Drosophila melanogaster: one gene and its partners. Changing the gene in region 1 together with any one later gene gives a genetic interaction. Each region holds a gene or a part of one and is shown on either strand. Other genes may lie near its edges. The genes, in order: rhea, Slik and sli.

What was found.
Region 2: of rhea (region 1) and Slik, changing one suppresses a phenotype caused by changing the other (phenotypic suppression), as found in Drosophila melanogaster (one study listed by BioGRID).
Region 3: of rhea (region 1) and sli, changing one enhances a phenotype caused by changing the other (phenotypic enhancement), as found in Drosophila melanogaster (one study listed by BioGRID).

What each region holds. Positions count from the first base shown.
Region 1 is NT_037436.4:8,540,361-8,550,821, forward strand, and holds the start of rhea (rhea), read left to right. Parts: upstream 1-4,640; 5' UTR 4,641-4,729; intron 4,730-6,314; exon of another isoform or gene 6,315-6,515; intron 6,516-10,461.
Region 2 is NT_033778.4:24,398,850-24,409,310, reverse strand, and holds the start of Slik (Sterile20-like kinase), read left to right. Parts: upstream 1-6,630; 5' UTR 6,631-6,750; intron 6,751-6,926; exon of another isoform or gene 6,927-7,476; intron 7,477-7,502; 5' UTR 7,503-7,648; intron 7,649-7,825; 5' UTR 7,826-7,941; coding exon 7,942-8,265; intron 8,266-8,330; coding exon 8,331-8,529; intron 8,530-8,592; coding exon 8,593-8,903; intron 8,904-8,970; coding exon 8,971-9,111; intron 9,112-9,207; exon of another isoform or gene 9,208-9,283; intron 9,284-9,419; coding exon of another isoform or gene 9,420-9,461; intron 9,462-10,127; coding exon 10,128-10,203; intron 10,204-10,264; coding exon 10,265-10,461. Other genes in the region: SerT (serotonin transporter), read left to right, coding at 72-348, 1,659-1,869, 1,926-2,378, 2,492-2,786, 3,354-3,554, 3,614-3,859; Rpn8 (regulatory particle non-ATPase 8), read right to left, coding at 5,038-5,879, 5,947-6,121.
Region 3 is NT_033778.4:15,917,846-15,928,306, reverse strand, and holds the start of sli (slit), read left to right. Parts: upstream 1-6,188; 5' UTR 6,189-6,668; intron 6,669-10,461. Other genes in the region: bdg (bedraggled), read left to right, coding at 752-1,562, 1,626-2,812, 2,876-3,043, 3,106-3,385, 3,444-4,228, 4,298-4,533, 4,596-5,124.

The DNA of each region.
Region 1 (10,461 bases):
TATGACGAATCCACATGTCGCACACGAATCGAATGGGCAAACTCGCCTCCTGGTCGAGGGGAAAGGCCCGGAAAAATCCGGGAAAACCCCCTGCTCCTGTCATCCGTTTAGCGGGCAATCAAGCGTGTAGGGCAATTCAATAAGCCGGCAGTGGTTGGGGTGCCACAAGCTTGGAGAACTTTATCAACACCCATGTCGGCATTAGTTTTGTTTACAAACTTTCCGTTGCCTTTTTGACAGTTTGCCCGGGGTGGACGCCATACCATTTGTGCACCCCCCACCCACTCCAAACATTTTCCCAGTCCACACTTTTCCGGGGTGGATTTTCGCTTGGATTTTTATTTATGAGCACTTAAATCGAAGCGCAAACTGAAATTGCACAGTGCACATCTACATAAATATGCAATTGCGGGATTGTGAGAAAGTAGTATCGCTGATAAATGATGAAAAAATTATAAATAAATACGGAATACATCGCTGCCCCTCCTCCTTGTTGTTATATGTTTCTTTTTTTTTTCCTTTTGCGATTCATCGCATCCCTCATGTAGATGTCACCCCAACCAGGTCCTTAGATGACAGCTCCCGATAATGGTGACATCAATTTGAAACTCAATTGAGCCTGTTCCGAGCTCCTTGATAAATGCTGTGCTATCAGCGCCGTTTATCGTCCTCAGCTTTTTGACTGGGTGCGACAAGTCAGCGAATTGGAAACGGAATTGAACAGCCAACCCCCACAAGGTGAGGGGTTCCATCGCCCTGGTATCCTCTGGCTCATCCATGCTCATCCTTGCCCAATCCTTGATCTCTGGGGCGTTGCGAGCAGTTTACATGTTTAATGCCTGCTTAATTGCTGCCTATGTCTCAGCGGGGCAGATCCTTTAGCCAGGATAAGCGGCCGTCCTGTGAATAGTGACATGTCAGCGGTCCCAGAAACTAAAATGAAATGCTCATTTCGGGAAAATTAAGTGAAGACTATTAAGATAAAATGCATTTCGAAATGGATGCTATACGTTAGAGTTTTGGTAAGGAAATGCACGATTTTATAGAGCGAATAAATTTGTTTTGAATATAAATATAGAAAAAATTTAATAAAGATACGGAAATATAGGTGTTCCTAGTAGTTCTTAGGAGGCATTAATCAAAAAATTGATCCAAGTTATTGAAAAAAATTTAATAAAACTTTCAATTACACGCTGCAAATAAACATTTTAATGCCTTGAAATGTCAATAAATGCCTTAAACGAATGGAACTTTTAACAAGCTCACTGCACCACCTCCTCCACTTGACACCCCTGACTCCAAGCCAAATTCCAAATCCTCGGATACGAACTCAACCTCAACATGGCCATTAGGCCAAGTCGGTGCATGGCCTCGCCAGGATAAATAGACTGTTGAGTCATTAAACAATTTACGCAGCCATAAATTTACGCAATTTACTTAGTGCGCAAACACACACATCCCGCAGGATGCCGAATGTCCTGGACAGGGCAATAAAAAATACCCCTCCAGCCTGGGCTGGAATCGAGAAACATTAACACATCTGGCCAGATACAAAGTGCTTGAGCTTGGGCTTGGGTTTGGGTTTGGGTTTGGGCTTGTGTCGTCCGCCTGAGCGATTAACTTTTTGCATCCTTCACACTTGGCTGGGCGAGTTAACCCAGCGTCATCATCTTCATCATCTCCTATCCTGGAGCAAGGACATTGCCCACGCGCCGCTTGTTTGCATTTTTATTGCCACACGCTGCGGGGTTGCAGGATGTCGATTTTCAGCACGGCCGCCACGAAATTTTAATGAAATCGTCATCAATTAAAATTCGCTCTCTTCCATGTCCATGCCCCCAGACGCCAGTGACAAAGGCAATGACAATGACACGGCACAACACTCCAGTTTCACATTTGACTGCACTCAGAGAAATGAATTCTCTAAAAGAAACACAAATAGCTATAATGGATTGCCAAGGTCTTCCAAAGTCTTAAAGTATCTAAGATTCAAACAGATTACATTTCATAGATCAGTGAAAGATGCTTGCATCAGTTTTAACATAACTACCATAAGTTCTTATACTAAACTCTTTCTAAAGTCTCAATGATTTCTTCCTGTGCACTCCTTTGGGCTTGTTCCATCTTTTTACGACCGAGACGTCCATCCGGGCACTTCCACGAGCTTAGTCTCGGATTGCTTATAGGATTCTCCGGCGCATAACTCGCCATACTCGTGCCTGGGATCGTTCTCAGCTATAAAAATAATTTGTGGCCAAAAACTCCCCTTCCATTCAGCTTCAATCCCGATCTCGAATTCATCCAAAAGGGGTTTGGGTCGTACGGCTGCCGTCAATTTGTAGTCGTTTGCTTGTTTTTCCAGCCTCGCCCTAATGGCTTTTCATAAATTTTTATTGTTCTCAATATAAGTTTTTCATAGCTGCCCGCATGCAAATGTCCTTCGAGTGCTTCGAATTTGTGGGGAATTTGTCGGGCAATATGAAAACGAGTTTACGCCTTTCCAGAATGCTAAACAAATTGGGGAGAAAGGACGGTTCACTTTATAATTGTGAAGCAAATCGAATTTAAAGGTTTCGAAACGAATTTCCCAACAATTGTAAGCGGAATCTACACTAAATAATACATTTATTTCTAAATTAATGGGTATTAAGAAATGGATATGAATTTATTTCCGTTTTTTGTTTAGCAATAATTTCTAAACATTTTGTAAGTGTCTGGTACTAGTTTCTAAAAACAGAGAAGCAATTACAAATTTCAAGCAATTAGTTCTTTTGAAAACACTCAAACTTCTTGTCATCATAAATTTCTACGTTTTTCAAGTTTTTCTAGTTTTTGTTGTACTTAAAATATGAAAAAAACTTATTATATTTCAACCAATTTATTCGTCTCCAAAGAGCTCAGATTCATCCGCAACTAGAAACCAGAAATGCATTCGGAAAACTACAAACTCAATTAGATGGCCATAAATCTCCGGCAGAGTCAAGAACCCTCTAAATTTTGGTTGATAAAATGCCGAAATTATCACGGCCCAAGCACATGATATATGGGCATTCGGCTTGGCCGGTTTAACCCATTAGCCAGCCGGAAGATCGCTCAATTAGCGTTGCTCCTCGCTGCTGGTCAGTCCCAAGTCCCAAATCCCAAGTGGGTCACTCGAGGAAAGGATTTGCGAATCGGGTTTTTATTTGCCATTACCGAAAACCAAACTCCCTGGCCTCTTTGTTGGGCCAACAAAGTGACATAAATCTTGGCGAGCGCTGGCACAAACTCAACCGGAACTAAAGCAATGACGCAGCAGGAGCACCAGGACACATGTCGATGCGTTCTGCTCATCCATTTCGCTTGCTCCTCCTTGGCCAGCAGTCATAACGGGCGTGTGTGTAAAGCGAGTGTGCCAGTTCCGAGATTTATCGGCCCGAGGGGTGAGTCCATATCTGCACATCCTGCATCTTCTATCTGCGTATCGGTTTGGCAGGCCTCGAATCGCGGGACATCAATGCTCAATGCCCAATGCCCAATGCCGGATGCCCAGAACGACAGGCGTTCGATTGAAATTAATTGAATTTGCGCCCAAGCCACGAACTTGACTTCGTTTCAAGAAATTTCTCAAGCGCGCAGGGGCGGGCATTGTGCACAGAGAGAAATTTTTATATGAAGAATATAGTGTTTTATGTATGAAGGTTTTCTGAAAGTTCGCTTTAAAATGTTTCTCTTGAAATTTCCAATAATTAAATTCAAGTTTGATAGTAGCAAAAGGAATGTTTATCCCCCCCTTTGATAATTTTGCAACTTGTCTTTAATTACTTCTCATTTTTTAAGAGTGTTGCGAAAGAAGGACCGTGGACGCTTGTTTCCTGTTTATGCTCGAGATGTTTTGCAGCATAAATTACGCGTACACATATACCCATGTATTCGCGCATATGATATCCTTGACAAGTCGAGAAAGGAGAAGGGAAAAAAACAGGAACATTAAATTTATTTTTATTTCGCTGCCTTATAGGGAAAGCAACCCCAGTGAAAGGGCCCCCAAAGACGCGCGCTATGTGCGGTCCGTTGACTTTGGCGAAGTCATGAATTCGCTTGCTTATTTTTATGATTTTGGCTAGTTTTTGTTTTTCGGCCCTTAGATTGCTCGTCTATTTTCTGAGGGTTGTAAGTTGCACACTTGGTTGCCCTCCAATCGCCGAAATCAAAACGGAAACGATGATCGTCTCGGAGAAAATTCAGGAAAGCCAGACAAATTTATCAAGTTTGTGTGGGGGTGCGCTTTGGTGGGGCTTGTAACCTTCATTAATCATGTGGATATGTTGTTTTTATAGGATTCGACTACAAATCGCTTAATCTTTAAGCCTTGTTTTAGTTAGACTGCATTAGTTGGGGGTTTTATTTTAAATTTGGCGCTCATGCCTTTACATTTGGGGTGACCCTGCACTTAACAGTCTGCCATTGGCATAACAGCTCTGTGTGCAGACTACTTTTTGCTTGCCGTAGTAATTTCAAATATTATAGAAGTATAGGCAAACTATGATTAGAACTTGTAAATTTATATATTTTTTATTTATTTTGTAATTATGTGACCCAAACGCTAATTGGTTCCGATAGCCGCAATGACTTATCGATAGCTGCTTGACGCACGGTCACACTGTCTTAACTACGGAATATTTTGTAAAGTGTTAGTTTTATTTACTCGATTTTAGCTCTCTTTAAGCCCTTTTCGCCGTGTGTTTCTGTAAGTTAACCAATGTTTAAAACCCCAAGTGCACAAATCAGTTTAAAGCCCCTTTCCCGCGGCATGAAAACGCGTCAAACAAAGCCAGTGGAGATTCAGCTGCGGCCTGGCCAACAAGAACTCATTTCGATTCGTTCGCACATTTTGTTGTTGCCGCCTAGTGGGTGCTCCTCCGGGGTGGAGTCATCATCGTTATCCCTACCCCCAGTTGTTGGCGCCGACTGTCCGGATTTTGGTCTCTCCCACATGTCCCGCACATTTGTTTTTGTCGGTCACGCGAATTCCGCCCTTTTAACCAAGTTTCCAGTGTAACAACAAAAGGGGGCAAAAAAAGGGAACGCCCGCATTTGTATGTTTGTTCGTTTGTTTGCTTGTAAGCATCGTCTACGTTTTATGCTAATTAAAGTGCAACATTTTTTTTTTAGCCAAAGCTGCGAATATAATTCAATTAACGAGAGTCCAACTGCGACTGCCTCGCATTATCAGCACAGCAGTTGGTTTGGTTTGACGGCTTTATCTGAGCAGCTGGATGAGCGTGCAGAATAGCATGGTGTATATGTATATGGGGTACATTCCATACGCGATAAGATAACCCCCGGTTGCTGAAGAAGAAGAAGAAGAAGCGCCGGATTCGCGGGAGTTGGCAATTGCCTTCAATTCTCAAGTTAATTGTGGAGTTAGCTGTGCAACTGCAACCCTCAAAGATCCGAGACGAGGACCCACAAGACTCGTGCCTACATCCCGCTGTCAGTGGCATAGAGATTCACTCTTCCCGGGATCAGGCCCTCAATTGCGTCAATAATTGGACCTAATTGAAGTCAACAGGCTATTATTTTGCCTCCTTTGTTTATGCACGTTTTTGGAAACTGTTGTATTCAATTATTTCAACTGAGATTGAAATTTCTCATGTATTCTGTTTGTGTAAGAGTTTTAAATGCAGATACTTTCCTAAAAAGAGACTGGTCCTGTTTAGATTATAGTATCTATAGAGATTTGAACCCATAAAGATTACGTTAATATTGTTGATTGTTTAGAAGCATTCCTTTTGGGGAATAATCTAGTCCGTCAAAGAGTCATTGATATTATAGATAAGAAATGTTTGGGTCATATAACATCATCAAAACAAAACGTCATTACCAAAACATTTCAAAATACTAATACTTACAACGCTCCAATCGCTTGACTAGCTTAGCCCTTGAAAAGCAGGAGTAATGTCCATTTCTTAGAAAACCCCATGTGACTAAGCGCACTTCCTCTTCCAATTTCTCGCTTCCTCTCTGCTCACTTTTGAGAAGAAAGAAAGAGCCATAAGTTGGGCAACAAAAGATTAGTCACCACTGGCACGGGTCCATCACCTTGTGGCCACTACCTTCTCCTCCGCTGCCCCTTCATTTCACCGCCCTCCCTCTGGCTGGCACCTTTTGTTTTGTTTACATTTGCAGACGGCGATCAGGAGAATCGGAAGAATCAGAGAGGAGAGAAGCCTAGCAGCAGGTGGCTCTCTTCGCGGCTCTCCCATCTGTTGCTCATGCTGCTCACACTGCCCATGGAACCGAGCGAACCACTCGCTTCTATGGCCCGCTCATTCGAGTTTCGTCCGTCGTCGGTGCCAATTCGTTCGATTGTGCCGCGCCCGATATCGCTATTGAAATATATATATATATACATATATCTACCCATATATATGTATAGGCGATTCGTACATATATGAATATCGCATATCGTGCATATCGTTCAAGTTCAAATATCAAAAGAGTTTCCAGCCCAATTGTGGGAATTAAAGAAGGTATATACATGACGAGAGTGCGCGGTCATAAGTGTGTGACATATGGTGTTATTTTTATCCATTCCGAGTGGAATATGTGCCACAAAAAGGCAGTTCCATTGTGTAACTAAGTTCAAACGCCAAATGCACGTTGCGCCTGCGCGATGCGCGCCAAAAACCCATCGGAAAACCCTTTTCCCCATTTCGGATGTCGAGCGTTTTAGAAAACAAGCTGAAAATTACCTCATCGCGCTGCCGGCGCCAGCGTCGACGTCTGCCGTTTGATGTCTGCCCCTGACTACGCTGGTCCACAGAGAAAAAATTTGGATTATAATAGATCACTAGGCTATATCTTATGACGTGCTAGCGAAATCTTAGGACTAGTCAGATTAGCATAATTCGCTTTTCACGATGATGCTTTTTTTTGTATTTGTATATGGATATAAACCTGAGCAAAGGGTTCCATTCAACAACAATGTATAGTATTTGATTATGTAATCAAGAAGTACTGCATTATTTATATTACTGTTTATCAAAAAAATACTATATTATTCTCTGTGTACACAAACATATAGATATTTCATTCTATATTTCTTGCTTGCCTAGCAGCTGGCGGCTGGCCTCCCACTCCCCTCCTCCACAAATGCGATTTATCTTTAAGATACAACGTACGCTAAGATTTGTTTGGTATCTGTACGTAGATTTATTGTTTTTTTTTGTTACGCTCTTTCCTCGCTCTTCTCTTCACCGATTTAAATATCTCGCGTCTTTCGATGTTTTGTCATAATTTCTCTGGCTTTTGTCCTGTTTTCTACACATTTTTTGTCCGATTGTTTGGCAAATTTCGCCGTCGCTCCATTTTGTGGGCGTATTTTGTATATTATTTATCCATTATCTCGAAATGTCAATGCGCTCGTTTAAAGCTGTTGTTATTTTCAGTCTCTCTCACTTTTTCGAGCGTTTCGACCTTATTAGCAGTGGGCTTCGGTTTTGGAATGCCCGCCACATAAACACGCTTCGGAAACATAAAGAAATCGAGATCGGAGCTCATTTTCACTCCATGCTCCACTGTGTGGGCAGTGCATCGGCTCCACATCTACCAAATATTTCGGACGTAGACGTGGGGACGCTCAGCATCCGCCAAGATATTAGTACACTTCACAAATATTAATGCTCAAAGATCTAAATATCATTATCAAAACATTAAAATATGAGTTTCTTATTTGGAGAATGCATGTTACTTTGTTCTTCTGGAATTCTGTTTTCTACTGACCCATTGTCGTTCATAATAAATATTTCAACACTTTCATTTTCTCCTGATAAGATCTTTACTACATGTTAAAACACTCGAAGGAAAATAAGTATGAGAGTGTTCCAATTTCACCATCTTATCTGCAATTCGATTTCCTCCTCAAAACTCAACTCATGATATATGTACCTATTTCTAGGCAAGCTGATATCAGTAATGTCTTTATACTTCATTGTTTGTATATTTGTATCCGTACAATCCAATGATAATAATCCACATGTTTGGAATGTTGCTTAGACCTCGATTTACTATATATTTATAAGCTATTTATAGCAATTATCCAAAAAGTATTACCCGGAATTTGTTAAGTGATCCGCGTGCACATTCGGCTCGGCTGGAGCGGCAATTCATTGAGCAAACTGATTTGTAACTCGGTCACTGGTGGAAACACTGGTGGGCAGCAGCTTGTGTTGCCCATTTTGGGGCACGTTTCGATTGCCAGACAAGTGACTGCATTTTCCACTTGTATCTGTTGGATAGTTTTTTTTTTCATGGTTTTGCATACTTTTCGTTCGCCGTTTTATTAATTGAGCTGTATTCATTAATTCTTTGCTTTGCTTTGGGGCGAGACGAGTGCAAAGGTCTTCCACTGATCGCTGGCCATACAACTTTCGAATACGAGATTGATGTCCCGGGGATGTTTACGCAGCGAGGATTACTTCATAATTTCGGGACTAATTGAATTGGTTTTTTTGGGCAAGCGTGAGATGGGAACTTTTTGATTGCTTGGTAATGTGAAATGACACTAAAATAGGGCGTGAAAGTTAAAAGTGTAAAAATCGCTTATGAACCGTTCAATATTTATTCACCCATGTTACCTCTGTTATATATTTCGATTTTTCGCCCATTTGTTCGATTTACTTTTCAAGCTCAATTAAAATAAATTAAGCCACCCGTTCAACTCGTTACAATATCGAAAAAAAAACTACTGGCGGCAACCAGAAGAACAAAAGCAAAACGACCAGCGTAATAACAATTAAAAAATAAAAATAACAACTGGTGTGTGTGCTCTATTTTCTTAACGCCTCAGCATTTTCAATGGTTTTGTATTGCACTTGAGATACATGAATGCATACATGCTGAATATACATTGGCTATATATAGCTACACTGGGCAAACAAACCATCTACAATATTATTGATCTTGTGTAGAAGTCCTAAGATAACACTCAGATATGTTGTAACTTAGGTTCTGTACCAAAGTCGTATATCTATTAAGATATGAAGAACATACTTTTCTGCTTAGCGGTCATGTTTTCCCTACAACTATGCAACTTGATAAACGTTTTTGAGAAAATCTTAAATATTGTTCTCTCTGTACAACAGATACAGCTACTTGGGGCTGATGTGAGTTTATGTGGGCTTAATGCTGCCGCACACATGTTTCGCTTTTTCACCGGACCTGAATCAAACAACCGAAATGCTAAATAAACAAAATGGGCCGCAGAACTCAGAACTCGTAGATGATTCCATATTGAGTTCGATTGGCCGTAGCGTATTGTGGAATAGTTTATTGTTTTGGAATGTTTCTTAATAACGCGGAACTCGAGTGGCGGAGGTGGAAGCACCGACCAGAAACGACCGATCTGAATCGGAATCTCGAACATTTCCATCTCGACTCAACTCGATTTCACTCGATTCGCATTCCGTTTTCGCACGCACACTCATCGTTGAGTCATTAAGAATCGCTGGCAGGAAGGAGTAGAGATGGAGCCCCTTGTTTACTATTAATGCTGATAAAGAATATGCATTCGCTTCTAAAAATAAACGGCAAGTATTCATTCGCATTTGTTGTCTGGCCATCGGCGGCATAACGTTTATTGTCACCATGTTTGTATGCAAACAAACGCATGCGAAGATTTATGCAAAAATTTTATTTTTTTTCCCCATCGACCACTGGACTACCGAACTTGGCGAGAGATGTGTACGTATCATTTTATTTGTTTCGTTTATCGCCGATGGCAGTGGGGATTGGATTGGGTTGGGCTCCACCGATCGGGTTGCCGCCTCCTATATCTCACGGTGGGTGTCGTAAATCCCTGGCCGATTACGTCAGTAATTCATTGGCGCTTTTTTTTTTTTGCCGGAGAGCCTGAGAGTGAACACGCATTTGGGCACTTCATCAATCTGTCAGTCCATCAGCGAAACGATTCGATGCGGTCAGTCGATAAGTCCGCCTTGGCATTCCCATTGCAATGGGTTGCGGTTTGTCACACACCCCCTGGATTCCCGCCGTGTGGAATTGTAATGAAAAATTGATGGAAATCTTGAGGATTCCGATTTTATAGCCCCATAGCGCCAAGTGAAATTTCTCTAACCGAAACCATTAGACGAACAAATTAGCATACATATTTTGATTGATTGGTTTTTAATTAGTGACAAAAAAGGTTCTATGCTTATGAGAAATATCTGAAACACATGAGAAATGTGTATAAGCCATTTTAACATTTAAATTTGAACAAAACATAAAGAACTAAATTTTATATCATCATGGACTTTTAAAGCGATATTTATGATCCGTGACTCAGTTGCGTTGAATCTAGAAAACTTTCTTGTGGACCTTGGCCGTCATTAAGGAAGTTATAGTGTAGTTAACCCCACATTTTATGCATTCCTTTCCCGATTTGATTATCTCTCCTCTGGATGGCTCCCCTTTTCC
Region 2 (10,461 bases), on another chromosome or scaffold:
GATCCGAGATATATTTTATTCCATAAGCTAAAACCTCCATCCTTGTACCATCATGTTTGTGTCCCATTCAGCGCATTCTGGTGGTCTCCGTGACGGAGAGGACTCGCGAGACCTGGGGACAGAAGGCGGAGTTCCTCCTGGCCGTGATTGGGTTCGCAGTGGATCTGGGCAATGTGTGGCGCTTCCCGTACATCTGCTATCAGAACGGAGGCGGCGCCTTCCTGGTGCCCTACTGCCTCTTCCTCATCTTCGGTGGACTGCCCCTGTTCTACATGGAGCTGGCGCTGGGCCAGTTCCACCGATGTGGTTGCCTCAGCATCTGGAAGCGCATCTGTCCGGCCCTAAAAGGTGAGTGTAAAAACTGGAAGTTGTTTCTCTAACAAATGTACTGTAACCATGTAACCATGTAACCATGGCCTTGAAAAATGATGGGCAAATAAACATGGATGCGCCTGGGGCTTGCGAACATATTCCGGATTAAATGGCAATTTAAATGAATTTCAAATATTGAGTTTTAGTCGCAGAACGTAAAAAACATGATTGCATATTGGAATCCATAGGCCATTCAATATTTACGCACTGATTTCGCCTGCGGCTCCAGCATTTTGTAATGAGAAATTAAGTATACGCAGCGTGGCCCTGCGAAAAGCGTACGGAACATGAGCTCGTGTGTTGTTGATGTCTGATATTTCACGCTCGGCCGAGCAATATTGTCTCAGCCAGGCTCCGAGGACACCCGCACTTGTGGGCCGCAGGACCTCAAAGGAGCAAAGTTTGGGGCCTTTCAAAAAAGGAACCATTCATTGTGTATGCCGGCGACATTATCAAGCGGCGAAACGGATAAGAGGCACCCGTTTGTTGCAACAATTACCGAGTCATTCAGGCGGAACGCACAAGGCCCAAATCAGGACATTCATCCGGGCTCAAGGCCCTAATTAAATTGTTCCAAATTGATTTACACCAGCGATGAAAAGACAGCCAGCCCATCCACTGGGGAAGGGGAAGTCGTATTCAAAGTTTTGCATATCGAGTTGATAATTCCATTAGGTGACAAACAAAATGCATGGGCTGCTGCTGCTCCTAGGGATCTGCGCTCGCTTAGAGACCGCTCCACTTCTGCCAAGTCACTTTGTCTAGGCCAAATCTCTCTCCACCCAGCTCCTCCACTCCCTCGTCGTAAAAAGTCCAAGAGCAAACACCACTTTGCGGCAGTCATCATTTGCTCAACAAGTGTTTGCTTTGGCAACCTTTTGCCGAGCGACTCGAAATGAAAAGCGCCGGAAAGAAAGGACGGAAAGCCAGGCGAGTGGAAAACTTAAGGGGAGAAAATCACGTGACGTGTCTTATTGGCCTCATAAGTGACGGGCGAACCTCTGAGGGTGGTTTGTATAAAAGCTGAAACTGCGAATTGTCACGCGGGAATATTCCAATTTCTTTGCCGATTCTCCGTTGGTCGTTTTCAATCAGAGATATTGGCGCTCCTATCTCCTAGTTGAGCTGGCTTCAGGAGCAACCTGTTGTTGGCTTCCAACTCGCAGCCTTGTTAGGCGAGCAATTAGGGGATTCGTTGGGGACTCGGGGAAAGATTCTTGCGTTCCCAGAGGAAGTTTAAGGGTCCTTACTGAGCATTTAACATACAATGCGCTCCAAACTTGCAGGCGTGGGCTATGCGATCTGCCTAATCGACATTTATATGGGCATGTACTACAACACGATTATCGGCTGGGCGGTATACTACCTCTTCGCCTCGTTCACATCCAAGTTGCCGTGGACGTCGTGCGATAATCCCTGGAACACTGAGAACTGCATGCAGGTGACCAGTGAGAACTTCACGGAACTGGCCACGTCGCCGGCCAAGGAGTTCTTTGAGTGGGTACCCCTGCATCATATTCCTAAATTTGTGTCCTTAAGCGAATGACTTGCAGGCGAAAGGTTTTGGAGAGCTACAAGGGCAACGGGCTGGACTTCATGGGTCCGGTGAAGCCCACGCTGGCACTCTGCGTCTTCGGGGTCTTTGTCCTGGTCTACTTCTCCCTGTGGAAGGGAGTGCGCAGTGCCGGAAAGGTGGTGTGGGTCACCGCTCTGGCTCCTTATGTGGTGCTAATCATCCTGCTGGTTAGAGGAGTTTCCCTGCCCGGCGCGGACGAGGGCATCAAGTACTACCTAACCCCGGAGTGGCACAAACTGAAGAACTCCAAAGTCTGGATCGACGCCGCATCCCAGATTTTCTTCTCCCTTGGCCCCGGATTCGGAACCCTGCTGGCCCTGTCCAGCTACAACAAGTTCAACAACAACTGCTATCGCGATGCTCTCATCACCAGCAGCATCAACTGCTTGACCAGTTTCCTGGCCGGCTTTGTCATCTTCTCCGTTTTGGGGTGAGTTCTCGATAGCTTCTTTTCGAAGGGTCTTTCAGACTTTAAGTACCTCAATAACTGGAGCTTAGAACTTATAGATCTGAAATCTTTTAATGTCACTTCATCCCATAAAGGTACATGGCCTACGTCCAAAAGACCTCCATCGACAAGGTGGGCCTGGAGGGTCCGGGGCTGGTGTTCATCGTTTACCCGGAGGCCATAGCCACGATGAGTGGCTCGGTGTTCTGGAGCATCATCTTCTTCCTGATGCTGATTACCCTGGGACTGGACAGCACCTTTGGCGGATTGGAGGCGATGATAACAGCGCTGTGCGACGAGTATCCGCGAGTGATTGGCAGGCGCAGGGAGCTGTTCGTCCTGCTGCTCCTGGCTTTCATCTTCCTGTGCGCCCTTCCCACGATGACCTACGTGAGTACTCGACTGGGATTCGGTTAATTAACTCCTAAGCACTCGCCATACATATGCATGCATGTCCGACTGGCCCATTTAACGCTCCATCTGGCTGATGGCTGCCCCTGTTCAAATATGCTAGCTAGGAGTCGATGGATGGCCGTGTTAAGTGCTTTTTATCGTCCGCCAGTTTATCTCCACACACTCACTCCCTTCCTCTCCTGCATTTTTATCACCTGTCAAGACGGGTGGACTTGTTTGCCTTCAGCCCGGTCAAGCAACCACCACCGGGTTCTTCCCCCCGCCACTTTATCTGATTACATTTGAAATTGTAATTCGCTGCCTTTTCTATTCCTGCCTGTTCTGGTCACTTGGCCACTCCGGTCGGAGTGACCAGTATCGGTCAAGGGATCAAGCTATTCAATAACTCAGGCCTCAGCCATTAATCAGTGCCAGTTAAGGGAGATCCTGTTGAGTGGATCTGATTGCTATGATACTGAATTCGAACTTATTCCAACATGTGTATGATGAATAGTATTTACCCCTTATTGGGAATTGGAATTTAATAAAGCACATTTTATTTAGGGTGGCGTGGTGCTGGTCAACTTCCTGAATGTCTACGGACCCGGGTTGGCCATCCTCTTTGTGGTCTTCGTGGAGGCAGCCGGAGTCTTTTGGTTCTACGGAGTGGACCGCTTCAGCTCGGATGTGGAACAGATGCTGGGCAGCAAGCCAGGCTTATTCTGGCGGATCTGCTGGACGTACATCAGCCCTGTGTTCCTGCTGGTGAGGAGATGGGATAGGGTCAAGGATAAGCTAAGATAGTAACCACGCACTTTCCACAGACCATATTCATTTTCTCCATCATGGGCTACAAGGAGATGCTCGGCGAGGAGTACTACTACCCGGACTGGAGCTACCAGGTGGGCTGGGCGGTCACCTGCTCGTCGGTGCTCTGCATCCCCATGTACATTATCTACAAGTTCTTCTTCGCCTCGAAAGGCGGCTGCCGCCAGAGGCTGCAGGAGTCCTTCCAGCCGGAGGACAACTGCGGATCGGTGGTGCCCGGCCAACAGGGCACCTCGGTGTGACATGACCACGCCCAGGTTCACGTCAACATCCGCACCAGCTGCACGAGCATCAAGATCTACAACCTCAACTGCAGCAGCAACAGCAACAGCTTGTCACCAACAACCTCAGGGGCCGAGGGAAGGAGCTGCTACTCAACTAATCTCAACTGCAACCATTCCTGCCCGTCGGAAGATCAGTATCGGAGCCGGAACCACCAACAGCAACAGCAACAGCATCATCATCATCATCACCATCAGCATCAGCATCGGATCAGCAGCGATATCATTAGCTCTAGTCTTAGGCAGTCGCACAGCCATAGTTTAAGCCTCTGCTCGGTGCAGAGCAATCCCATGGCGACCACCAGGATCCCACTTGCTGCCGAGGACAATAACTGCTCGCTGCGACTCAGCAGCTGCCAGCCGCTTAAGTTCCCGCTGGCCAGCGAGTGGCTGGTCTAAGTGAGCCTCCAGTCTACACCGGAGTCCTGCAAATCAGCCATTTTGCAGGACTCCCGTGCATAGTGCTACAATTCGGAAAGGAGGTGCCAGGAACTCAATGTTTGATCTAGTTTCTGATTGCTTTGCAAGCACATAGTGAACCTAAGTATTCTAGTTGTTGGGTCATCGATGGTGTTAGCAATGGAACCCTTAGCCTTAGTTCGTAAGCGTTAACTAGCTCAGCTGTAAGTCAAGTGAAATTTGGTAAAATGCTTTCTAAGTAATAACTGCTCTAAGATAGAGAACGCCCTGTACAATGCATTACTCAACCGTTTTTGTGCTCGGGGAAAGGCAATCGTAAGTCAGCCATTTACGTTGCCTCTCCAGCGAGTTTAGTTTGTTTTAAAATATAATTTCGGTTTTACGAAATACAAAAACACAAGCCTGAGCGGTTTTAATACTAGGTATGCTGCTTCTAGCAATATTAGAGGAAAGCAAACAATAGGAGTATTTAAATTATTTAATTTTTAATTACATAAACTTGCCATTAGTTAGTTACGCGAAATAATAAGAGGGAGCTTAATTTCGTGTGGAAAATGAACGATGAATGGTAGCAATGCTTGATTTCTGAGGCCACTGCACACCCTCGCCGTATGGTCTGCAGATGAGTTCCACTTCCTGGAGAACAGAAGAAGCAGCAGCTAGTCCTGCGCCCGCTGCTTCTTTCGTTTGCGACGGGGTTTGCGCTTTTTCTTCCGCTCCTATTTGCGCGAACCCTTGCCGCCTTCGTCCTTGCCCTTGTCGGCCTTCTCCTCCGCCTTCTTGCCGTCCTTGTCCTTGGTCTCCTTGTTGTCCTTATCCTTGCTATCCTTATTCTTCTCCTTGGCCTCCTTGCTGTCGCTCTTGCCCTCCTCGGCGTCGCGGTTGGCCAGCTTGTTGTTGATCAGGTTGTGCAGGGCAATGATCGAGCGCACCATGGAGGCCAGGTAGACGACTAGCATTTGGTCGTTGGTCTTCACATACATTGTGCCCGTGAACTGGTCATTGGTTATATCGGGCAGCAGGTTGAAGATGTCCTGCAGCTGGTAGACAATCTGGTGGTTGATTGGCATCTTGCTGTCGCCGACGCGCTGCAGATACTGCTTTATGTCCCGCAGCTGGGCATTCAGGCCTTTCAGACCCATGAGCTGGTTGGTGATCTTTTGCGACAGGCTGCCCACGGTTGTGTCCTTGATGTCACGCAGCAGATGCTCCACGCCCACCTCCTCCGCCTCCTCGGCGCCAATCTCGCTGGGCACATGCTCGAAAGTTTTGCTGGTCGGAGAGCCGTCGTCATGGACTTCCTCCACCGATATGTACGCCTCTGTGGGCAGGCCCAAATCCTTGGGCTTGGCGTCGATGATGACCAGCACGGAGTTGGGACAATAGCGCCGGACCAGCTCGTTGATGGCTATGTCGTTTTGGTGGAGCTTGGGACCTGTGTGATACCATCCCACAACCCGTTCCCTGGCGTTCACCTTTTTGAACATGCCGTACATATTCTCCAGGTAGTCGTGGTCCAGGAACCACACCGACTTGTCCTTGTCATCCTCGTCGAAGGGCACTGGAAGTCGGGAGGGAATTCTTTTGTTTTATGGCCACGACTTTGGATATTCAAAGGCAGTACTAACCTGCGAAGCTGTTGGACACATCGAGCACTCCCTTGGATCGCCAGCAGCCCAGAAGGACTCCCACTACGCGCTTCTGGTTGCCAATCTTTCCCATCCGGTTGAAGTGATCCACCACGGACAGCAGAACCAATGGATGCACTATCACTTTGTTTACGCTCACCTCCTGCGACGGCATGTTTGTGCTTTTTCTGGGTTTTCGGTTCGGGGGCTTACTATGACCTCTGCGCCGATTGATAGGTACCGGACTGATTTGTTTTCGACGGGTTTGGCTTCCTGCGACTCCTGTTTTTCGCTAAATTACCTGCAATTTGCGGCAAAAAACTCAGGCCAAAATGACAAGCAGAAACGATTTACAGTGTGGCCGACGCCTCGCTTTCTGAATTTATTTCAAGGCAAGCAAAAGCATGCTTTTCTAAAAATGATTAACTGGTCACACTCGGACTCGGAATACAGCATATTAAATATAACATATTCATTATTTTCCTACACTTACATTTTAGAACAATAAAGTTGTCGTGTTCTGGAAAGTAGTGAATTGATATCGATTTTCTACAGCTGTTAAGAAAACCTAATAGTTCTATATGTTATAAAGGGAAGGGTATAGGAGGACCGGATTGCTGGTGTATAAAATCACCCATCCTTGGTATTTTTGGAGTTTTGTTGAACGGCCACACAATGCTGGTGGAAAAATCATGAGAGGAAAAGCGCCGTGCAAACAGTTAGAAAGTGCGCAATCGGACAGCGGAAGTGCGGAAAAGAACGTTTGCTGAGGCTGCACCTGCCGAAAACCAGCTGTAAAGCAAAGTAACTAAGCAGCAGCCGACTTAACTTATTATTTCCCCCTCTGCGTGTGTGTTTGCATAAGTGTGTGTTGTTTCTGTTTTTGCCCTTGGCGAAGGCAAATAGTGCTGCTCTCTTCTGGCACAGATGACCTAAACGGCCATTTTTCGCCGGCGCTGCCAGATCGCCAAACAGGGTGCAATTGCAGCTCAGTGGCAACACGAAGCGTTTGCGCGAGAGAAATTTCCAAGCATTTTCGGGGTAAAATACGCTTCAAATGGCTTAGTGTGCGGCAAAAACAGTCAAAATAGCGATAGTGCAGTGATAGATAAAGCCGAAAACCGTGAAAGTGACTGTGTACGAATGAGGTAATACCCCATTCCGTTTGCGTGCGTCCTCAAGTTTCACGCCCATTCGCCGCTATACTTGCTCCGTAATCATCAATGGGATGTTGAATTTAGTTAAAAGTGCGCGTGTTGTTTACAAATTTCACGAATTACGAGCTGAGCAGTGCGAATTGAAGGCGCCTCTACGAATTAGTCAGCTTTGGCATCCGTAAATCCCGGGTTTCGCTGCAATTTCGGCGTAAATAGGTGTTCGGGTGTCCGTCTTGAAGGGGGAGAGGGGCTTAAAAGCCCAGAGACCAGCTCACAAATACTCGCAAGCAGAGACACACGCACACACACACACGCACGCTCTTTTGTCTACGTCTTTGACTTTTTCTCGTTTGTAATCATTTCCCTCCCATTCGTACGTGTTTTTTCTACAAATATTAGAGCTCGCTAGCTGCTAATTAAATTATAAAACATACAGAACACAGAAGCGCTAAAGACGGGCCAACCAAGCCCACAATCCCCGCTTTTTGGCCTATTTCGCTGAACAAAAAAAGAGAAGGAACCGAGGAGAGAGTGCTGCAAAGAAGGTGAGTTTAGGCCACGATATCTGGGCTATGGTCTGCGTTCTAGAACGGGGCAGTTCCACCCCGGATTCCGATTCAGAATGAGATTCAGATTGAAACTTAGAGCTAGACTTGAAACCCTGCCAAGTCTGTGATATACACCTGCCCGTTCAATCAATAAACGCTTGCCAATGTCCGCAGCTTTCACCAAATCTAGTTTTCCTGCTTGGACTCTCGCCCAGGAGCTCACTATGTAGACTCAACCCAAGAAATCATCATCGTCAGCAGAAGCAGGGGAAATCTACAAGAGAGCCAACATGTCGTTTATCACCAACCTGAAGAAGGTCTTCCACCTCGGCGGGGGTGAGGCCAAGAAGAAGCGCCTGTACAACAACATCAAGATGGACACGGATCCGGCGGAGTTCTGGGAAATGGTCGGCGAACTGGGCGACGGAGCCTTTGGCAAGGTTTACAAGGCTCAGCACAAGGAGCAGAAGCGATTTGCTGCCGCAAAAATGTGTCAGCTGGAGGACGAGGAGAACCTTAGCGATCACATGGTCGAGATCGACATTCTGTCGGAGATCAAGCACCCAAATATAGTGGAGCTGTATGAGGCCTTTTCCATCGATGATAAGCTGTGGGTGAGTATATCGATGTACTTCAAGTTTTATCGGGATTATGAATCATTCCTTGAAATTCCTCTCAGATGCTCATCGAGTACTGCGACGGAGGGGCCCTGGATAGCATTATGGTGGAGCTGGAAAAGCCGCTGACTGAGCCGCAGATTGCCTATGTTTGCAAGCACATGACCGAGGGTCTCACCTTCCTGCATCGCAACAAAGTCATCCATCGTGATTTGAAGGCAGGAAACGTGCTTCTCACAATGGAAGGTGGCGTCAAGTTGGGTAAGTTATCGGTGCCCTTTTCCTAAGCCGAGACGATCTCAAAGTGAAATCAACTCATTTCAGCGGACTTTGGCGTTTCGGCCAAAAACAAGCACACCATGCAAAAGCACGACACCTTCATTGGCACTCCCTACTGGATGGCCCCGGAGCTGGTGCTTTGCGAAACTTTCCGGGACAACCCGTACGATCACAAAGTGGACATCTGGTCACTGGGCATCACGCTCATTGAGCTGGCGCAGATGGAGCCGCCCAACAGCGAGATGTCGCCCATGCGAGTGCTCTTGAAAATACAAAAGAGCGAGCCGCCCAAGCTGGAGCAGCCTTCTCGATGGAGCAAGGAGTTTAACGACTTCCTGAAGAAGTCCTTAGTCAAAGTGGGTAACCCTAAAATCTGTTATTTACATTCCATTCTAACTTTACTTTTGTATTCCTTCTGAACAGGATCCGCAGGTGAGGCCCACGACGGATGTGCTGATGCAGCACGCTTTCATCAACAGAAATCTGGATGCCAAGCCTATCAAGGATCTGCTGCTTGAGTACAAGGCCGAGGTCGTGGAAGAGGTGGTGGATGATGAGACCGAGGTGAGTGCGCCTTGGAAGCCCATGGATCCCTGTGCCCAGCACCGCACCCTTGTAGTCCAACTGCTAGATGTGATGATAATTTCTACGTTCTCTCACCTCTCCAACTGCTCTTTCTTCTCTCTTACACGCTGCCGCCTGAAAACCCAACCAAATCGCACCGCGCGATACATTATTTTATATGTTTATCTTCGTTTCTTCTCGACTATTCTTTGCCTTGCGTTTATGTTACGTTCTGTTTTGTTCCGCCAAAATGTCGCAATGTTTGTTCTTATCATTTGTATGTGGTTACTTGGAAATAATTGATATAGAAGCTTAAACGCCAAGTGAAGCGGCGCTCGCTCTATCAGAGGGTTGGTAAGTCGTTCTACAGCAAGCCGTCCGTGCTCCGTCCGTTCCTGGCACCCGCACCCCTCCCCTCCTCTGTTTCTGCATCCCAGGCACTGTCCTTCAAAAGCGGACCCACAATTAGTTTACTTATTTTATCAGCATTGCCAAATGCCGCTTATCACTTAGCTCCTCTGTCGGAGGCATACTTCGCTCGTTGTGTTTGTTATTGTACTTGGCTTCCTCCGTAAGCCCTCGCTATCGGTTTCTTGCGGTAATTATAGGCAGCACACTTTCAATCACACACGGTTTTAAGTTACTAATCAGTCTGACCAGCACATAGCTGACAAAAGTGTCAGTTTCACTATCTATAAGCTCCTTACGTTAAGACTTAGATATTGTTTATGGAGCAATAACAGATAGAATTTGCGAACAATGCGTTTATTGCTCAACGTCGGATGTAAACAAATTCTTTTAGGGCTGTTTTGGGGTATGGCAATAAAATGAATCTCGGTGGAATTTCAGAATCGAATATTATGCTTATTCGGCATGCCGAATGTAAGCATAGTTTGGCCGTAGGATTGCTAACGCTATTGTAGTAAGAGACAAGTAGATCTGCTAGCCGAACAGGAATTATTTAGGAACGACACTACGTATGAATATGCTAATAAGCTGTATTTAATCTTTCTCAGGAACCCCGCAACTCGGCGCTCCAGCTCGACCTGGACGATGACTCTGCTTCGCTGCAGAGCCAAGACATTGACAAACGTAAGCATATGAACTTTGGTGCATAATTTTCAAACCCTGCTCACGAAAAACCCCTTCACAGTTCCAGGTACACCTACATCCATTTTGCGGGATGCCAAAGAGCAGTCCCAACCAAGTAGCAGTTTACCAATCGCAGCAGCGGCAACTGCAGCAGCAGCAGCTACAACCACAACTAAAGCAACCACTCCGGACAGACCAAACCACACAAAGGATGACAATGCTGAAGCGGCAGCCCAGCAGCCGCCTCATACCAAAGTG
Region 3 (10,461 bases), on another chromosome or scaffold:
CCGATTCGGTTATTAAGTTGTATACTTTCAACGAAATAACTCGTTTGAATTAGTAAAAGCTAGTTTGGCGGTTTTAGTAGCTGTTTTATTTTTTAACAAACAAAAAACACTAAATTGAGAAATCCGTTCAATCAATCGGTTAATTAAATGCAGATTAGTCATTCTCAAATTAGTCACCATTTAAGGAAATTTCTCAATGTGACACAGTTTTTAAGTGGTTCCTTGTTGCCAATTGGGCAACTTTCACTGTTAAAAGTATTCCTTATGCCTTTTATAATTTACCAGAATATTTCGTTTTATTTTAAACGAATTTAAATTCATATATTAATATATTCTAGTTAAAATTAAAATATGTTAACCTTTTCAAACTTTTACCTGAAAAATGTTTTGCAAATTAACCGGTCGGTTAAAGTGCTGATTTCACCTTCACAGTTTCCTATTTAGTTCTTAATGCAATTAAATTAATCACAACTACACAGCTTTTTTGTAAGATTCAACTTAGTAAGAAAAAAACTATCTAAGCAAAGAGAAAATGAGTTAATTGCCACTTTATACCAACTGTCTACTTTTCTACTTTATTTTTCTCCAGATCCAAAAATTTTTATTCTGCACTTAAGTTTTTTTTATGTGTACCCATTGCAAAATTTTGGTGTTAATAAACACCTATTCGTATCCATTGCAGGAACGACTTTGAAGCTTTTCAACACTGCCGGCAGGACAAATCAGCTGCGACATCCGGCAATGCACCAAGATGAGCAGCAAGGAGCAGCAAGCAGCAGGCCGGGACTTTAAGCGCAATTCAAATGCCTACTCCAGTCTGCCGCCTACAGGAACGGGAGCAGGATGCTCCGGAGCAGCACTGGGATCGGGAACGGGAACTGGCAAAAGAGCTCGCAGCAAACAGCATCAGTTGGAGCATGAGCAGTTTGGACTCTCGAACAGCCTGTCCAGCGAATCGATACGGCAGGCCTGTGCCTACTACGACGACGAGTTGAGCGACGAGGATCTCATCGAGATTCAGCAGACGCCCCAAGCCTTCCACCAGCAGACAAAACAACCCCTCCAGCTGCAGCCAATCAGCTTCAGACTGGGAGATGAGCTGGGCGACGAACGAAGTGCCTTTTGTGGCAGCCAGGAGATGCAGCAGGTGCCATTGAGCACACCGATCAAACAAGCTGCTGAAACGGATGAAGCCCTATGTGTGCTCAGCGAACTGGATGCCATTCTGGATGTCCACGATGTCTCGCAGCTGAATGGCACCTGCTCGAGCGGATCTGTGAATTCCGGAAGTGACGATGACAAGGTAGAGGATTATTTAATGGATCTGGACAACTATCTGGAGGAGATGGATAATGCCTTAAACCGCGAAGATTCACTCATCATTATAGACGGCCACACCAGCTTAAAACGAGAGCCTAGAACTAGAACTTTGCCTTTAAGTAGGAAAAAAAAGTCAAGTAAGAAAAAAAGCGAAGATCAGGAGGCGGCACAAGGTGATTTCCAAAGAGAACATCAATTAAGGAAGACTTTCAGCTGTTCATTAAGGCCTACAAGCCAAATAGGTTGGTAATCTCTTAGCTGATTAAAATATATAAAACAATCAACTAAACTTTTCTTATTTCTAGCTTCCTCTTCCGGATCATTGGAGACTTCCACGGAGCCCGTTATGGACGTTTGGAGGCGACAGTCCATGCGTCGAGCCCTCGAGCAGGAAGACACCAAAGCTACAGTTGCGATGGAAAGAGAGGAAGACGATATACCGACCTTATTGGTGGAGTTGCCACCGAGACGCGATGCGGAAATGCGTCGCTGTTTCTCCCAAGGCGATTGCCAAGCATCGGTAGCGCCTACGGTTGGCTCTCAGATGCTCACAGAGGCGCACATCTTCGACAACCTCCTGCAAACGAACGCACGGGCATCGAGCGAAGAGCCGCGACCCCGGCAGTATGGTCGCCGCTTGGAGGGACCTCCTACTCCAGTTCGCCCCTTGATTCTAGCCCAGAGTCGGCCACAGAGCGCTCCGACGCGCGTGCAGATGAGAGAACCACAGCTGCAGGACACGCCCACGCACCCAATTATGTCCACATGCTCGGAACTCAGCTCGGCGCGCTCGTCACGAATGCCCAGTCCAGTTTCCCTGCCCTCGGACAGCAGCAGCAGCGGAAGCAGCTCTGCTGAACACGATCAGGAACCGGATCCCGTGCAAACCACGACCATGTGCAGTGCCAGCAGTACGACGCCCCTAGAGCCGCTCCACCAATTGCAATTGCTGCTGCGCGAGAAGTGCGGTTTCAACAGTCAATGGCCCCATGCCGGAAGTCGTACTCTTGCACTGATCGGATGCACTTTGGGAGTCTTTAATATGTGCCGATTTGCCGTGCTCACCATTAACTTTGGTGGCAACTTTCTGCTACAGTTTCTTCTGCTCTCGGTTATCTTTGGAATCCCACTTCTTTGGCTGCAAATGTGCTTGGGCGCCAAAATACGTGCTGGTCCCGTTTCCATGTGGAAAATCAGTCCGATATGCGCCGGAGTGGGCATAGCTCTGGTGATGCAGCAGTGCTTCCTGGCCTTGTACTCAACAGTATCGCTGGCCTGGATTTTAGTCTACCTTAGGGACGTATTCCCGACAGCAGCACGCAGTGGATATCGCTGGCAAGAGATGGCATTTCCCTATCGCTATGATGCATCGAATGCAACGGGGAATCTCACGCAAACAGTGGCCGAGTACTTCAACGTGGTGGTGTTGCAGCGACTACATCTGGCCAATCATCCTGATGCCAGTGGAATACGATTCCACGTTAATGATCGGGTAAGTTTCGCCCTCCCCACTATCCCGCTTCTCATCTAACTGACTCACATCCAATTCCTTCAGCAGCTGGCCTTTTATCTGGCCCTTATTTGGGCGGCCGTGTTTCTCATCCTCTGTAAGGGTCTCAAGTCCTTGGGAAAGTTGGCTTACATTATCTACACTCTGCCGTTAGTAGCTCTGGCGGTAGTGACCGCTAAGTTTGTCTATGTCGTGGATCCCAGCAGGATACAGGTAAGTTTGTTACCCGACAACAAAAAACTCTTTAAACTATCGATATTCTGTAATTTTTGTAGAACATCTTTGCTGCCAGCGATTTCGACGACTTTCTGGTGAACTCAAATAGCTGGACGGCAGCCACGCAGGAAACGTTTCTTACTTGGGGTCTCCTAGGCGCCTCCGTAATCGCTATTACGAGCAGAAGTCACACCAATGCCAACAAGGCCGCTTTGAGGAGGGATGCGATTCTCCTGGTATTGTTTACCCTTATCGGATTGGGTTTAATGGCACTGCTAGCGTTGTGTTGTGCACAGATTCTGTGGCAGCATGGATACGTTTATGTGCCAGGATCGTTTGGTGAGTTTTAAATCATGTCTCTTTTTTAGTTTTAAACTAATTCTATTATGCTTTTCAGAGAATCCCGATTGTTACACGTCCATTTACTCGCTGCAATCAAACACCAATCCTTATCTGCTTTCCTATCCGCGCTCGCTGATTCCGCACTACTCCTCGTTCATTGGCGAGACTTACAGGAGGAATCGCACCATGATTCACGTGGAGAGCGGATTCCAGGCACTGCGCTTCATCTCGGAAATCTTTCCGGCCGTGCTCTCGCTGGCCAGTGATAGCATATCGTGGGTTTGGGCTGCAGTGGCCTTTGCAACGTTCGCCGGATTTGGTCTAGCGCAGCTGTGTGTGATGTGGAAACCCATCTCAAGTGCCTTAGGTAATTCCACGAGCTCGGTTTTGTTGAGCTGCGTGACTGGTCTGCTCCTAAGCATTCCATTCGCCACAGAGATGGGCATTTCGATCTTGTACTATGTAGATTTTCTACTGGGCGGCTCCTGGTTCATTCCGATCATCTGGACGGCTCAGATATTTGGCGTGTTTCTAATACGGGGGCGTCCGTACAACGGAGATGATCTGGTAAATGACCTAAGGCTTTGTGGGTCCATGTCGGCATTCTTGGCATTGTCTTGGAACGTTTTGCTGCCCATTGGTCTGATCACATTGTCTGTCGTAGACTATAAGGCTTCGTTGTCGAATCAGTTTTATTATTGGCGTGGAAAGTCATACTTTACGTATTGGTCCAGGAAGATGGGCAGTCTTATCCAAATTGGAGTGCTGTTAGTCATTCCCGTGACTGCTATTATTCAAATCTACCGGTATTTGGCGCACGGGCCACCCGATATCTTGGAGGTGAGTCTATAATAATATTTGCCTTATTATTTGGCACTTTCAATAATATTATTTCCTTTTCTCTTTTAGCGCATTCAACTGCTGTACCGACCGCCCGAGGAGGGAGAGGAACCGCGTCGTCCATCCGCTCGACAAACGGCGTCCCAAAGTCGTCGTAATGCTTTGGGCCAGACCACGGAGGGCGGCCAACACGATGCACAGAACGATGCTCCGCCAAAGTACACACCACCTCCGTCCTACACAACGGCCACTGGAGCCCGCCTTGCCAAGCTTCTGCGCCAGAGCATTCGCCGCAGCGTAAGAAGGTACATAAAAACCATCCCTTAATATAAACAAAAAGTTATTTACGACCAATTTATCGACACAGGGTTCTCGGAGACTCAAGTCGAACGCGACCCGTGCTCTCCCTCGATGCGGAGTCTGCTTCGCCAGCGGCGCCGCCTGATTACCTAACCATACTGACCAATCCGGCTGGCAGTAGTTTCAACGCGGATCCTTCGCCAGCTTCCAGCAGCAGTCCCGAGTCCATAGAGATCGACCAGCGACCCGTTGGCTACTCCCAACGCTCGCAATCGTTGGGCAGGAAACTGCATCGTTCGGGTGCTTCGACACTGGAGAGGCGGCCCTATACGGCGGAGGATGTGGTGACCATACTGCGCTCCTCGGTGCGACATCGCCAGTCGCAGGGAGGCGGAAATTTGGTCACTGCCAGCACCCTGCCTCGCCCCCCAACCGCCGCCATGTCCACGCACTTGGAGGACGCCTCATTCCGATCCATAGAGAATCTTGTGCTGAATGCCGAGCCACCGGACAGAACGCCCGGTGTGGAGCTGGAGCTCGAATTGGAGGCTGGACAGGCGGAGGAGTGCGCGCGAAATAATACATCTGTGATTTAACTGACTAATATCGTACCGTACATAGCGTAACTCTTATGCGATCCACATATCCGCTTGCTTTCTTAGACTTGATTAGCGCTAGTTATCTAAATACGAATATTACCTTGTAGTTATGCGAATAATAACGAAAACAACTAGTTGGTACTCCCAAGTGTGAGCTCTTTTGATCCCTACAACCGGTATTCCCAGTTCGATCCAACCCACCCCATTTAATTCCATTTCACATATATTTTAGGCTTACGGATCGCGCCTGTCTGCACAGTTGCCCTTAAAATTATCCCAACAATGGAGTAGGCCTCCTACGTGCCCAGCTCTCGAGGGTCAGCTATTTAAGGGAATACGTACTTGGGCCCTAAGCCGATTAACAAACGTGACCAGTTGAATAAAAAAAGTGAAAATAAACGGAAGTCCAGGATGGCGTAGCCAACAAAGGCGCCTAATGAGGCGGGCCAGGAAGTTGCTGCATATTTCGATTAAAATGTCACGCCATTTCTTTTGTTTTCTTTGTGACTTGCATATTCCAAAGGGATTGGCCTGCAAAAAAGTTAATCCGCGGAATTTTTAAATCAGCACGAATTGGCGGTTATTATTTTAATATCTGGCAGCGCTGGTTCAAAGAACCAGTTCAAATGGGTTGAGTCTCGGCTAGAACTTTTGTGAAGTTCACACAATAATTGATACCGTTATTTTTACTTATAATTAGTAATTTTAATGCTAGAAATACATAAATAACAATTGAGACCTATATAAAAGCAAGTGATAAGGGTTCTTATACAAGCCAATGTGTGTAGTACAACTACTCTATAATTTGGGATGATAGTTATAAAGTTTTAAATAAATATATATTTTCATGAAAATATTATCAACACTTTAATAATGAACGAGTTTTTGGACCCTTATTAACCATAATATTTGAAATTTAAGTTGGAACAAGAAACTTTTAAACTGTTGGCGAACGCGGTATTTTTTAGGCCCTTCTTGCCGGGTGAGGTTACTCCTGCATCTGGTAACACTGCTCGGCAGCGAAACAGAAACATAAAAAATTCGAACGGCGACGAGAGCGGTCAGACGCACGCATCACTTTCAATCGCGTCGCGTAGAGCGTCCAAAAAGAATTATAGTATAAACCAAGAGTGAAGATTCCGGTGAGCAAAGAATTTGCAATTGCCAAACTTAAGCAAAAACCATAAAGTGTGCATTGGCAATTGAAGTCGCGCGTTCTTAGCCAATCCACATTTGCACGGCCATTTTAAAGCCAAGTTAAGGCCAAAGTTTTCTGCCGCGCCGTCTTCGTAAGTCGCAGGTCGAAAAGTGCTCAAACGAGATTTCCACTTGAAATTCCTGAATTTCGTTTGTCTGCGCGAATCGCATCGAATCGAATTGAAGCACAAATCGCAGCAGCAGAAAAGCGCAAAAGTCGAATTTAAATTCCGTCTGCAAAGTGCCGAAAATTAGTGTCTTTGTTGTGTTAGTGTTTTGTTTCTTTGTCTGTGTGGGTGTTACGATTACGATTGGATTAGCGGTGTTTTCGCCTGATTAAAACGGTAAGTGTCCTTGCGATAATCCTGCGTGCAAAGTTAGTTAGCTGGTGCCAAGTTCGCTCGCCACTCACACACCTCCACCGCCGCCACTCACAACTTATTTTGCTGCAATTTGCTCTAGTGTTTTGTATTAGCATTTTTATGTCCCGCCTCGCCAAAGTTGACAAACAAAAACGTACACACACACACATACACGCACCGACACGTAAGCACACGCACACAAAGGATTTCATTACATTTTGGGTGGGACGTAACGGTAACGTTGAAGTGTAACGTATAACCCTCCCCTCGTTCTATCTCTTTCCCGCCCAAAGCCCCGAATGCTGTGCTACCGAATTTGTTTTCGCCTTCGCTCAGTTCTGTTTTCTCCTGTTTTTATTTATTTTGATGGCGTATTTTGCCATTCCGCTTTGTTCGTATTGCGTATCCTGTCGCCTGCGCTATCCTTCTACAGTCGCATCTGGCTAGAAGGAACTATCGTGTGCCTCAGTCACATGAAAAATATTACACTTACGTAGGTGATTTGATTTTTAAATGTATAAAGTCCCCTTCAAATTGCTAATTGAAAAATATATAAGTTCATGTACATAATCTTATTATGTCATCAATTAGAACCACAACATCTTTGGTTTCCCATTAGTATTTATAGTAACATTTTCTGAGCCCAGGGTATTCTGGTTTCACTGTACATTTTTCGCTGTCAGCTTTTCTTCCTAGTTTCTGCCAGCATTGAAATGAGTTCGCAATAAATATTGCCCAATGTCAAATAAAAGGGCGATGAGCCAGCCTTTTTCCGCCATGGCCCCTTTCCACCTCGGCCTATCTCCTCCATTCGCTCTAATCTCGGGGGACACTAATGCTTTACGACAATTCCTATGCCGTATGCCGCCCAGTACAAACTTAATGCACACATCAATGGCAAATTAGATATACTCCACAGCAAATGTACTAATAACAATCATCGAGTGCGTGTGCGGGCGGGCTTCCGATTCATCCCATACCATACCATACCATACGATACGATACCATCCCGAACCATTCCATCCCACACATACGTCCTCTCAAGACGATTGTTTTGTTGATTTGGCTGTTACTTCCAATACATTGGCATTTAAGGGGCAGAATTGGGATCCACTTATGTGCCTGCCTTATGTCTCATTTGTCGTCGGGCAAATGGAAATCGTTTTGTTTTTGCCTTGTCAAGTGACAAATTTTCATTGTCTCCCGCCACTAATCGCTTACTTAAAACAAAAAAAAAAACCAAAAAAATGAAGAAGATACCACGCCAAAGACTCCAAACAAGAAATAAGACAAGTGTAAATAAACACTTGAGGAGGAGGGAGCGTGGGATCGGGAGTCACGACTAACCGATATCCTCTGTACAGTGTGGGCGGGGGCATATACGCAATGACATTATCATAAAAGGTGCACATGCCAGAAGTTAAGTCGCGACAACTTTCCGTTATAACTTTCAATAACCTTTGTTGTTTGCTCCAATAAAAGCATTTTAATCGATACTCTTGACTTGTGTCAATCCATTCGGATTTGTTTTTGGTTACTAATGGATGTAATGTATGAAGTTATTGGGGCGGCATAAATTAAGAACTTATTTCCTTTGTGGATTTCACGTTACTAAACAGATGGTGATGTGACGCAAATGAAGTCCTAACAAAAGGATATTTATATATATGGTATTCTTTCGCCTAGCTATTTACCTGTATTTTCATATTTATAAAAATACTAAAAGGCCATTCATATTTTATATGGCGTGTGGTCTAATTACTTATTTTTATGACCTAGAGAAGCAAAGATTATAAATTAGCCGTTAAACATTCCTTTCCTCCATCGTACATACCTTTCGATACCCTGTAAATTCCAGTGTATGTACTTAGAGTACGCACACGTACTTGCCTCTTTTGGTGGCATTGCCCGCGGCACCTTCACTTGGCGCAGCTTGCCTTAATTTCCAGCGGACAAACCACTTTGTTATCGCCACGCCGAGGGCCCTTTAATCTCTGGTAGTCCCTGGTTGGCTGGTCAGACCCACCTCCATCTCCGTCGCCTGCCCATTGATTTACGTCTCTATTTTCCAAATGTAGCGCAATCGATTTAGATTGATTTTGTTTAAACAAACTGCACAGCGCAGCAGAAGCAGCAGCATAAAAGGCACCAGAAAGTGTAATAAATAATTGGAAACGGAATCGTTGGGCTGATTTTAATGCCAGCGTTAATTGCGAGAGCCACCCAATTTCATTTCCATTTCCATGCCCAATCGAAATCCAAATGCCATTCCCCAACCCTCCCCATACCTTCAACATTTTCATGCCGATGTAGCGATGCCCTAGGCCAATTCCAAATCCAAATCCAATTCCTATTCCTATTCCTATTCCATCGATGCTTTGGTAATTAGTTGTGAATTGGATTGGGGATCACATAAAAGTGTTGATTACACACTCCGATGGCTGCGCCCCCAGCCACGCCCCCTTCCCGGCTGGGTGCCAAGTGTTTTGTTTGTGTTTATCTCGTCTTCGACGTGTCTTTTTGGGTTTTTCAGAGGAATTAGGGTTAGCCGTGCGTAGTGAAAGTCGATGGGACTGCAGCAGGTGTTGGGTCCAGCAAATAAAGTTGGTCAGCAGGAAGCGTTCCAATTAATCGCATTTATCGCACGGAATTTCAACTACGCAGCCAATTAATTGGGGCAGTTTGAGATGCCAGATACTAAAGATACAGATACAGAAATTCCCACAGTTAAGCGACTGTAATTGAAATTGCACTTGGACAGACATTCAAATTATACAAATGCCTCTCAGCAAATTTGATTAGCAGCACTGAATTCTGGACAGCGTAGGGAACCCCAAACATAAACCATTTTGTCAATTACAAAAATGCTGAGCATTTTCCTTGCAAGTCATGGTCGGGGGTGACACACAAGCGGGAAACATCTTCGCATAGTTGCAGCAGTAAAAACATCAAAGTCATTTCATGTCTTCATAAATTCGCCCACCAAAAGGGCAAACAAAAAATGTTTTTTTTTAAAAAAAAGTAAGGCGAGGAAGACCTCAGCTATCTTTTTCTGCTGCCTGTCCCTTTTTCGCTATTTCCCTCACTTTTGACTAAGTGAAATGACCTGCCATTTTGTAAAAGGCTAAAAAATAAGCAAGAAAAACACGACAAGCCGAAAACAAAAAGCTCAAGTCACAACTAATAAGATTGAGTTAAAAAGAGGGGACTGTGCGGAAGAGAGAGAGAGAGAGCGATCAGCGAGGGAAGGTTAATGTCTTATCGACATGCTGCAATCTATGTATTTAATTGACTCGACTGCAATTATAGGGTACACTCTTTATATATATATAGAGTGTAGTGTCTTCTTCCTGCAGATAAAGCGTCGTAAAATGAAAGAGAAATACTTGCCTATAATGATTTCGCATAAATCGTGACTACTCGCCAAAATGAAAGGCGAGAATTTATACTAACAGTGTACGAGGTTGTATTTGTTGGAGCTACAACAAGTTACAATGTAGGCAACCACGCTCCATTCGCAATTCAGCGTGGAGTGGAGTGTCGGTCGATGTCAGAGGCTAGTACCCCCAGTACCCCTCCAATTCGGCTCCTCTGACTCCACTTCGCATGCCAATCGTTCGACGTTTCCCGAGAGTCAGATGCTGAAACTGAAGCTGATGCTGGATTTTTCGCCGGAGTCTGATGCCTTTGGTCAGCCAAAGTCAGGCAACAAAAATCCGAGCCAAAAAAAATAAAATAAGCGAAAGACAACGGATCAAGTTGAGTTTGTCAAGCC